Arabidopsis thaliana: one gene and its partner. The protein of the gene in region 2 interacts with the protein of the main gene of each other region in a pairwise test. Each region holds a gene or a part of one and is shown on either strand. Other genes may lie near its edges. The genes, in order: PDLP3 and CSLC5.

Region 1 (5,166 bases), on a different chromosome or scaffold from region 2:
TACAGTGTTCTTCATTATAGTTTTCATTTTTTTGGTTGATAATAGGCAAATGTGGCTAAGTTTGATGGACACACTGGGGAAGTTACAGCTATATCTTTCTCTGAAAATGGTTACTTCCTCGCGGTGAGTACTTTGAACAAAATACGAGAAGAGAGAATACAGCTTAAGTTATGCTTACATGAATGATTTTCTTTTTGTCCTGGAATTGACAGACAGCTGCAGAGGATGGTGTTAGGTTGTGGGATCTGCGCAAGTTAAGGAACTTCAAATCATTTTTATCTGCAGATGCGAACTCTGGTACACAACTATCGTATCTGTTTCTACTCATTTTGTTGATAGAGAACTTTCTATGTATTATAAGCTCGCTTTGATTAAACCTACTTTTTTTTTGTGTGCAGTGGAGTTTGATCCTAGCGGATCTTATCTCGGTATTGCTGCATCAGATATCAAGTGAGTACACATTTGAAAATAGTGATCAAAACATCCAAAGCTCAGCTAAAGAAAATATCCAAAGAGACCAAGCTAGCTTGATTAATCTGCACGTTGGGTTAACACAATTTATGTGTTTTGGCTGCAGAGTATACCAGACGGCAAGTGTGAAAGCTGAATGGAACCTTATCAAGACACTCCCAGATCTCTCCGGCACTGGTAAAGTCCCTTACCTAACTCCTTCAATGATCACATAGCGATAATGTTGCTAATTTCGAAGCCCTTACACTTGCAGGTAAAGCTACGTGTGTGAAGTTTGGTTCAGATGCACAGTACGTTGCAGTCGGTTCGATGGACCGTAACCTACGGATATTTGGTCTTCCTGGTGATGAAAAAGCCAACGTCGATGATGACTCTGCGCAAGACTCGTGAACAATCCGTAAAAAACTCAGACAGAACATTCCAAATGTCCATCTCCAGTGTTATCTCGCTCAAATTTCTCAAGTTCTGTTGTATCTTACAGTATTTGCAGCAATGGGGGAGAATTTCATAGGTGCGGGTCATGAGTGAGTGGTGATTGTGATCATCCTCGCTACCTCTTGGAATTCAAACAATGACACTCACAAACCCTCGAGTTTTCTTATAGGCTCTTTTAATCGCTTTGTACCTTCAATATATGTACCAAAAAATGTGTTCTTTCTGTTGCCAAATGAATTCAGACACTAATGAAGATCCCAAACCGATGGTGCTAAACCGCATTTGGTATTATTTAATCTGTTCTAGACAGTGGTGGTCTGCTTAGTATTCCGTATTCCAACAAATGATTTCAGCTGGTCTCTGAGAACAAAATTTTAACTAAATGTTAAAGAATACCCTTGACTGTACTTGGTCAAAAATCACTGGGCACAATATTTACATTTATCCACGAATATCAGATTCGTGATTCCTTTTGCAATTCCAGGATTAGTTTAACTTCACGCAAAAGATAATGTTTTGTAATACCCTTTCTTTATTGTGACCAGGATTGACAATTCGTGTTAAGGTATAACCACGTGTTTCCTCACAATTCTAAAGAATGCTTATGTTTCTCCCTGTCTATATTATTTTTTTAATTTTGTCTGAAAATACTAAAATAACTTGAACAAATCATCGTATAAAAACTACAAAATACATAAACTAAGCTTAAAGAAATACCTACACGATGAACTTTTTATATAGTAATTAGTAACAACTACAAAATACATAACCTTACTAGCTACTGGGAAAAAAATTGTCCAGTTTTAGATGATCAGAGTAAATATAATACTAATTGTCTTCCATTTTAATTATTGTCGAAAACGTGTTTTCATAAAGTAACTATTATTGGGTTTCATTACTAAATTCTAAACATCAAATGGAATTGAAACCAAAAGAGTAGTTATTCTAATTTTAAAAAGTTAGGTGTTGAATAAACAGTTTAAGTGAAATCTAATAATCAAAGACTGCAATACACACACCAAGCTCACTGTACTGTCTTTAGACTGGTCAGTGGTGGCTGAAGAAAGAAAAGAGTGTTTGATTGTTATATTAAAAAATAAAGAAAACAAATTACGCTCCCTTCTCTACAGACTCTCTCTATCCTAATCCTATTTCTTTTTCCACATCTCCTAAAGAAAGAGAAAAGAGTGGTCATCCATCCATCCACAGCCTCTTACAAAATCTCTCTCTTTCACCATTAACACCAAATTCAGAAAACTCAGAAGAAGCAAAATAAAGAGCTTTTACTGATCCACCAAACACAGAATTTCATAAACTCCCAAAAAAGTTAAATTCCAAACAAGCCCCACAACAACAACAACAACAAAAAAGATTTTAATCTTTCTCATTTACCCATATCCTCAAAATTCCCACAAAAATCTTTCCTCCAATAACATAACAAAACAACTCTTCTTCTACAACAAACTATGTTCTGATTTTTTAGTTTCTTCTTCCACACAATACAAAAGAAATGGGGTTTTATTCACTGAAGCAGCTTTTGTTACTTTACATCATCATCATGGCTCTGTTCTCAGATCTCAAGCTAGCAAAATCTTCTTCACCAGAGTACACGAACCTAATCTACAAAGGTTGTGCAAGACAGAGATTATCAGATCCATCTGGTTTATACTCACAAGCTCTCTCTGCAATGTATGGCTTATTGGTTACTCAATCAACGAAAACAAGATTCTACAAAACCACAACTGGAACAACAAGCCAAACAAGCGTCACTGGTCTTTTCCAGTGTAGAGGAGATTTAAGTAACAACGACTGTTACAACTGTGTTAGTCGTCTTCCTGTTCTCTCTGGTAAGCTCTGTGGCAAAACCATTGCTGCTAGAGTTCAGCTCTCCGGCTGTTATCTTCTCTATGAAATCTCTGGCTTTGCCCAAATTTCAGGTATTACTCTCCATTATTTGGTTTAATCTCAATTTCTTCGAAATTTTTTGTTTCTTGAACCGGAATTCGAGTTTCTGTGTGAACTTCAAGAACCCGGTTAAGAATCAGGTTTTGGTTTTAGATATAGGTTTAACCAAAGTTAGGATTCGACTAAACCAGAGAAACTTTTAACTATCGACCTAATTTCGGTTTTAACCATAAACCGAACCGAGATTGACTAATTTTAACTCCGGTTTAAAAATTTCTTTAGGAATGGAGTTGTTATTCAAGACATGTGGGAAGAACAACGTCGCCGGGACAGGATTCGAACAGAGAAGAGACACAGCTTTCGGGGTGATGCAAAACGGCGTCGTTCAAGGTCACGGCTTCTACGCAACGACATACGAATCGGTTTACGTTTTAGGACAATGCGAAGGCGATATAGGCGATTCAGATTGTAGCGGTTGCATAAAAAACGCGTTACAGAGAGCTCAAGTCGAATGTGGAAGCTCAATATCTGGTCAGATATATCTTCATAAGTGTTTTGTCGGTTATAGTTTCTACCCAAATGGTGTTCCCAAGAGATCTTCTCCTTATCCTAGCTCTGGCTCTTCGGGTTCTTCTTCTTCTTCATCTTCTTCAGGTGAAAATTTCTATTTCTTTTTATTTGTTTATTATTTTGGTGGAAAATTTCAATACCAACGTTCTAATATTTGCTGGAAAATCTTGAAAAGGTGTTCATTAAAAAGAAAATGATTCGATGTTGAAGTTAATAATTAATTTATTTGACTATCTTCACTTTAATTCAAAAGGTTTTCAGTGTGAAACTTGTTCTTTTGTTTTCAGGCTCCAATTGTGATTTTTGTTTCTTTTCATTTTGATGAATAAATATTGTTTTTTTCTTTTCAACATTATAGTTTGCTACGGTTTCGTAACAATTAATTCTTTAGAAAAGAGAGCGTAAAGTTTAGGAAATGTATTTTTAGGTATATTTTATTAGGATGATGAAATGGTTTTTGATGGAAAAAAACAGGAACAACAGGCAAAACGGTGGCAATAATAGTAGGAGGAACAGCTGGTGTTGGATTTCTTGTCATTTGCTTACTTTTCGTCAAAAACTTGATGAAGAAGAAATATGACGGTAATTACTTCCTCTCCACTTATATATACATACACGTAGACAACATTCATGCACGTATCACGTCTATAAGCATACATGCATATGTAACGTAATTCATACGAGTTGTCATTTTTGTATTGCCAAAATAATAGATTACTCAGTGTTTTTTATTAGAGATATTAATTATCCTTCTAATTTGAGCATATTGAAAATTAAGTGTGGAAGAGCTTGCATATAATAGACATACACATGCATATGTTGAGAAGAAGAATAAAGGCAAAAAAAATTGATTACTTATGTTTTTTTTTTGGCAGATTATTGAAAATAATTAGGATGAAGACAACAAAATGAGTCCCAACCCCGAAATGGAGGCAAGCGTTAATGTGAATTCCGAGGTGCATGCAATTAATTGTGTCCCGATTTTTATATTTTTCGAATTGTTAGTTTATTGAATACAGTATTTTTGAGAGGTGGAAATTGTGGTGGGATGGATGAAGAAGAGCTGGGACCATTTTAAAATGTTAGAAGATGGAGAAAGTACTTTCAATTTATTTTTAAAAATGTAAATGAATTATCTCATTTGAAGTTCCTTAAGTACTTATACTTGTCTTAATTTCATACCTTTTACAAGTTCCGTGAAGTCATTCTATTGGATGTTATGCTATAGTTTAACAATGGGTAACTCTTAAACAGAAATGAATTTATACTATGCTGTAGCATTTTACATTATTCTGTTCTGATAACGTTATACATTTTTGTTTTCGTATGTTTTAAATGATATTTTGTTTTTTCTAGACTGTTGAGTTGCTTTTTGAGTTTCTGTCGAGTTGTTTTTTTCTGCCAACTTGTTTTTGGTACTTTTTCTATCAAAATCTCGTTTGATAAGTAACTTTATTGGTATAACCTGGCAATTTTTATTTGTTTCTTGTAAAATGAGTAGGATTCCACCGCGTTTTGTATTATTGTGGGCAATTTGCATTATTTAAATGTTTTTTTTCGGCATTACTTAAATCTTATTTGTTCAGAAAATAATCGTGTGCATAATTTATATATTTGGAAATACGAAAGTCGAGTTATGTACTTCTCAATGTGTTGTTGTTTATGTATCTCGAGTGAAAGAAACTATGGTTAATTTTTTATACAACACTCATGCGATTTCATGGAGAAGTGTGATGCTTTTTATGATTTTGGGAATAGGGAACTTGATTGATACCTTTTGGGATC
Region 2 (5,828 bases):
CAGAAGCACCTCTTGTGTGGTCTGAATGTTGTGCATTAGGTTTAGCATAATTGTAGCTATGTGATAGTGTTTAGTATGCACATTCTTGTCCTTGGATAGATTTTTGTGCATTTCACGGTTTATATAGGCAAGTCAAGAATTTGTAAATGCGTATCAGTTGCTACCATTTGGTACTTGTGTTCATTTCACTTAAGCATAGTTGTGAAATTGTTCACTTTTATGAAGGTGAAGCAAAGTAATTGCCTAAGAGGAAGATTGAATACATAATCTGATTTGCTCTTATTCACGTAACAACTAGCTATGGTTTCGTTTCAGCAACTATAAATCCCAAATTAAGTGAAAAAATAAAAGTATACTTGCGAAGTAGACATGGAGACGTTGTTTTGGCATGACAACAATTAAAAGCCTAGAAAAGCAAGAGAGACAAGATCATGATCCTAGTTCGGTCCCAGAATCATCAACAAACCCACCAAATTAAAATCTGTTTGGTCCCATTCTTCACTTACACATCATTGAATTGATTGTTATGTGACGTAAACCTCTCTGACCTCTGCTTTTTTTCTGCAATTATGCTTCTCCTCATTCCACTTCCTCTGCCGACACTTTTTTTGCTCCACGTTTCTTCACTTTTCACCGACACTAAGTTGAGAATGTCCTAAGATCCTCAGAGAATACAATAAATATTGGTCTTTCTCTTGTTTCAGTTTAGTCAGAAAACTGGTTCTTGTTAGTTATTTACAGTTACAATCTCTTTCCACAAAGGTTGGACTTTAAATTACATAAATTCTCTGCAGTGATTTGACATGATCCTTGAAATTAGTTCAAGACAGAAGCTCTTTTAACTGCCAACAACATGTTCCAACTTTACAGATATTGTATACATGTATGAATCTCTGGCTCACACTCTATCCCTAACAATGGAGGAATCAAACCAACATAACAAACAAACAAACGAAACGGAAAATCAATTAATGCCTACCACTATGGTTCCAACAATCTCATTACAGAGGATACCACTGAACATAGAGGAAGTGGAAATTCAAACTCACTGATTTATTGACCCGAGTTATGAATCTTCTTTTGTTCTTCTCAGCTCATCTGCTCGCCTATGAGATCGAGACCCACAAGAAGAAAGGTAACACCTTGGAATAACAGGAAGTAGAAATGCACTCCTTGTGCTGCCAAGAGACTCCTAAGCGCTGCAGTGAGCAAAAGAAAGGCCAATGCGAGCTCTTTGTGGTATATCTTGTTGGTTTTCTTGACAGGTTTCTTTGAAACCGCTTGTTTCTGTTCTTCAAGTTGGCTCAGCTCCAAAAGTTCGCTGTCGGAAACTCCCCTAAGCAATTGACTTTTCTTGGTTGGTGTCTCTTTCTCGGTGATAGATAAAAGATCTGACTCTGATGATCTTCCAGCTTTCTTTGTGACAATCCACTCGTAAGAGCTACCCAATTGGAATAATCCGGACACCATCGCATTGAACTTGGTGACAGACATTGTGTTCTCGAATAAGAGATAAGGAACGATGAAAGGAAACGATTTTGGAGATGGAAGAAGGTTGAGGAAAGACATGAAAACTGGTATGTAGCAGATGACCCAAACAGGGAGCTCAGCTTCTGGAACAAACATGGTGAGTGGAAGGATTATGCAGAACAAAGTGAAGGAGTAGAAAGGAAGTATGAGTTTCCTAAGAAGAAAGAAGAGAAGTATCAGATTCGCCTTCTTCCATATCGCTATCTGCAAGAGTAACCAATGAGAACCAGAAGAAGTCATTAACATGATGATTAGCAAACATTTGAACTAAAAGAAGAAAAAAGCTGCACACTACCTTAGAGGTCAAGATTGAACCAAGACACAAGCGGAAAAGCTGCATAGGTCCCGAATGCCAACGGTGTTGCTGCTTCTTATATGCCTCGTAGGACTCAGGAACTTCGCAAAGGACCTATAGATTTGTTTCTATCCAGTTTAATTCATTTTGTTACATAAATAAGGCTTTTTTTAGAAACAATCGATAAAAAGTAGTACCTTGACGTCATTAAGATATATGAACTTCCATCCATGAAGATGAGCGCGGACTGCTATGTCCATATCCTCCACAGTAGTCCTTTCAAGCCAACCACCAGATTCCTCAAGGGCTTTGATTCTCCATACTCCAGCTGTTCCATTGAAACCAAAGAAGTTCAAGAACACGCCGTTCACTTGCTGCTCCACCTCAAAGTGAAAACACAGATTGATGTTCTGAAGACGGGTCAACAAGTTCTCGTCTTTGTTCACAAATGTCCATCTAGCTTGAACTAGACCTAACTCTGGGTTATCCTGAAGATTAAATCACATTTTTAACATGTTAGCAATCTCTCTCTCCACTTTTCAATGATAGAAAATTGAAACCAATGTTAATACCAACCTTGAAATGTGGAACTGTTAGTTTAAGGAAATCCGGAGTAGGCTGGAAATCGGCATCAAAGATTGCGACATACTCGTATGCTTCAACGTAATCACAGCTCATTGCTGATTTGAGGTTACCAGCTTTATATCCAGTTCTAACCAAGCGATGCCTGTAGATTATGTTGACTCCCTTTTGGCTCCATTTGGCAACCTCAGCTTTAATTAACTGTTGGATGCTTTCATCATTCGAATCATCGAGAACCTGAACCAGTATTCGATCTTTCGGCCAGTCAAGTTGACACACGGCAGATATAGATTGTTCATACACCTGAACAAGAAGAAGACTAAAGCTCATTACACTGATACCAAAAAGGTTATATAAAGCAGGAGAAAGATGAATACTTTCTTGGATATACCAAAGTTGAATGAGCATACCTCTCTCTCATTGCACATTGGAATCTGAACAAGAACCATTGGATACTCAGATCCAGATCCCTCAGCATCATCATTACGGAAAGGTTCCTCATCAAATCTCGGCTTAATTTTCTTATACTTGATCCAAAAACAACCCAAGCAAAGTACCAAACGATCTACTGACTGTATAAGGAACAGCACAATACAAAACTTGGAGAGAGCTTTGATGGGAGGAGCAATATAATCAGCTCTAAGGGTTAACCAACCAACATACACAAGATGAAACAGGCTCTGGATCTCAAGTGTGCTAGTGGGGATGTGAAGACTAGGGCTTTGAAAGTAATGCCATCCTCTAAAATAAGCAACAATCTCAAAGCCGAGAATCACTAAGGAAACAGCTAAGAAGAGCTTAATGGCAGTGAAAAGCCATCTGTCTCTGCCTAATTTCTCAGAGCCAAGTGGGTGAGTGAAACTAAGCCGTTTCTTGATGGCACCAAGGAGAGACCAAAAGACAGTGGCGAGCCAAGTGAGACATCCAACAGCTCTATGAGCTTTGAGAAGCAAAACCCAAGTGACTTGCTTAGCGTTCTTGCCTCTGCTCTTCTCCACTGGTCTAAAAGCCGAATCTGGACCGTCGATTTCAACTACAGAGTAATTAGGATTCTCCATTTTCACCACAACTGGTGTTCCTTTCCTCGTGTCTTTCGCCCACCAATCTGAAAAATCCAACCTTGGAGCCATCTTTTGCCTCTAAAATCTCCTCTGAGAAGTAGAGAAATCGAAAACCCTAGCTGAAATTTCTAAATGTGGTAAGAAGGATCCCAAAATAAACACCCAAATCTCAAAGTGTGAGATTTCAAACACAACCCATTTTCAGGAAAACAAAAAGGTAGAAACTTTGAGTGAAAGGAGTGAGCTTTCTCTACTAATAATGGAAGAGAAAGAGATTAATCTAACACCCAGATCCCAGAAATCTGAAATCTAGAGACCCATTTTGTTTTTTATTATATTCTAAAAAACCAGACAAAGAAGCATCCACAGCTCAAGGCTCATTTATAGTGGACCTCTTTTTTTAGAGAATGACAGAGAGAAGGATGGGTTGGTGAGAGAGTGTAGTGACTCAGAGAGAGAAGCAAAGGCAGAGGAAGAGGAAGAAAGGTATCATCAGTGAGAGAAGTTGTAAAAGATGTGTCACTTGCACTTTCATGTGTGTGTTACTCTTTCAGCTACTTATTTGATTGCTTCAGCATGCAAAATTCATCCCCTTTTTATTATCACTCTTTGTAATCTTTCACAAGCACTTGTCATGTCATGGATCTTCATTACAAATATTTGTATTTTCTTAAAAAAAACAAATTTGTTATATATTCAAAAGAAAGAAAATTGAGGAAAATCCATTGATGGATGGGGACCATATGGGTTGTTTGGCAATTTGAGGTGAAGACAAATTCAAATTTGTATTTGTGACCAACTATGTACTAGTTACATTGGAACATGTTTATAAGAAAAGATACTACCAAATCGGTTTCAAGTGAATCACTCTATTTTGCTATCACCGCTTCTCCTACGTGCTCCCCATGTCATGTTCCATGTTTTTTCCAAATTATATATTTTATACATTTAGTCAAATTCTCTTTGTAGTCCATTCATATTTGTTAAAAATACTATATTAACATGAGTTAAAAGTTTTCCTGATTAATTTACTCAAAGCATAAGCATTTTCATTATTATATTCTTGTCAAAAAAAAATCTTGAGTGTTGATCATACTTGGTAATTGGTATAATCACAAACGTAAGTCAAAGCCTTACTGTTAAAACAAAGGGATGCAACTCAATATTAACTATGAGTTCTATAATCAAAATATATATTATACATTAGGAGAGTAAGGAGGGAAACATTATACTTTGGTTTATTGACAAAGTGCTCTCTAACAATCAAAATTGGTCAAGTGTTGACGTAAAATATTGCCGCTAATTTTGGTCATTTTGTAAAACAAAAGATAATTTAGTGGTGCATGCCTTTGACAAAGGGAAGTATTTGACAAAAAAAAGAAGAATGTGATTCATTAGAAGGATAATGTCAATTTTTCAGTTTTAAAAATTCTGAAAGTTCCAACCAACAATTAGGTTACCCGAGATACTTGTCGGTGGTGATATCAACACATGTAGAACACTAGAAGATAAGGATATTCGTTGGCATTTTTAAGGTTTTATTTACTATACAATACCTAACGTTTTACGAAAGTATCATATAAACACTAATAAGAGAAAAGGAAAAGCTAAAAGGAGAAAGATCAAAAGAATTATAAATAAGTAATTTTGTAGGTTAGTACTATTTTTTTGTAATACCTTTTTTTATTTTGTGTTGCTTGTGACATGCATCTACAGAAACCAATCGGTGCTGAGTAATTAAAAATTTGTCATGTAGATTAAAGTTAGACTCAAGAATATATTCTATACGGTTTTAATAATTACTGGCTAGCTATTATATAACGTCATAGATGGAAAAAAACAAAAACTGCAGAATTTAGTGACATTTTTTAATGAATTTAGCCTCAGACACAGTTCTGCCCTAAACACAAATGGTTAGATAACTATGACAATTCTGATGAAATAATAATTCACAAATTATTGGACATGATATATTTTTAAGTGTGCTTTAAAATGAATCCAAATTAATCATGTATATATTAAGATGATCGATTGTGTATTGGTGAATGATTATTAGTTATGACTCATAATGATATTCTTTGAACTATGTTATCATAATCTTTTCATACAGTGCTTTACACCCTCTACTTTATACATATTTATTTCAATAATTGTAATTAGTGGATACAATCATTCAATAATTCATTTAATCGATTAAAGTTTTCTATTGTTATGTTTTTTGTTTTATAAGTTTTTCAACTCTTCCAAAGTAATGTCCATTTCTTTTATAAATTTGAATATTCTGAGCAAAATCATGGAATAAATGAATGTACTACTAATTTCACGCCAAGAAAATGAACTCTATAAATGCTATAGCCTTT

What was found.
Region 1: the proteins of CSLC5 (region 2) and PDLP3 interact in a protein complementation assay, tested with the Arabidopsis thaliana proteins (one large-scale study listed by BioGRID).

The regions. Positions count from the first base shown.
Region 1 is NC_003071.7:14,122,279-14,127,444, reverse strand, and holds PDLP3 (plasmodesmata-located protein 3), read left to right. Parts: upstream 1-1,918; 5' UTR 1,919-2,416; coding exon 2,417-2,843; intron 2,844-3,093; coding exon 3,094-3,465; intron 3,466-3,855; coding exon 3,856-3,963; intron 3,964-4,256; coding exon 4,257-4,264; 3' UTR 4,265-4,639; downstream 4,640-5,166. Other genes in the region: MAC3B (MOS4-associated complex 3B), read left to right, coding at 46-123, 213-297, 399-450, 578-648, 725-861. UniProt on the Arabidopsis thaliana protein: Modulates cell-to-cell trafficking.
Region 2 is NC_003075.7:15,308,800-15,314,627, forward strand, and holds CSLC5 (Cellulose-synthase-like C5), read right to left. Parts: upstream 4,189-5,828; 5' UTR 3,538-4,188; coding exon 2,818-3,537; intron 2,711-2,817; coding exon 2,402-2,710; intron 2,314-2,401; coding exon 2,023-2,313; intron 1,940-2,022; coding exon 1,826-1,939; intron 1,735-1,825; coding exon 1,090-1,734; 3' UTR 707-1,089; downstream 1-706.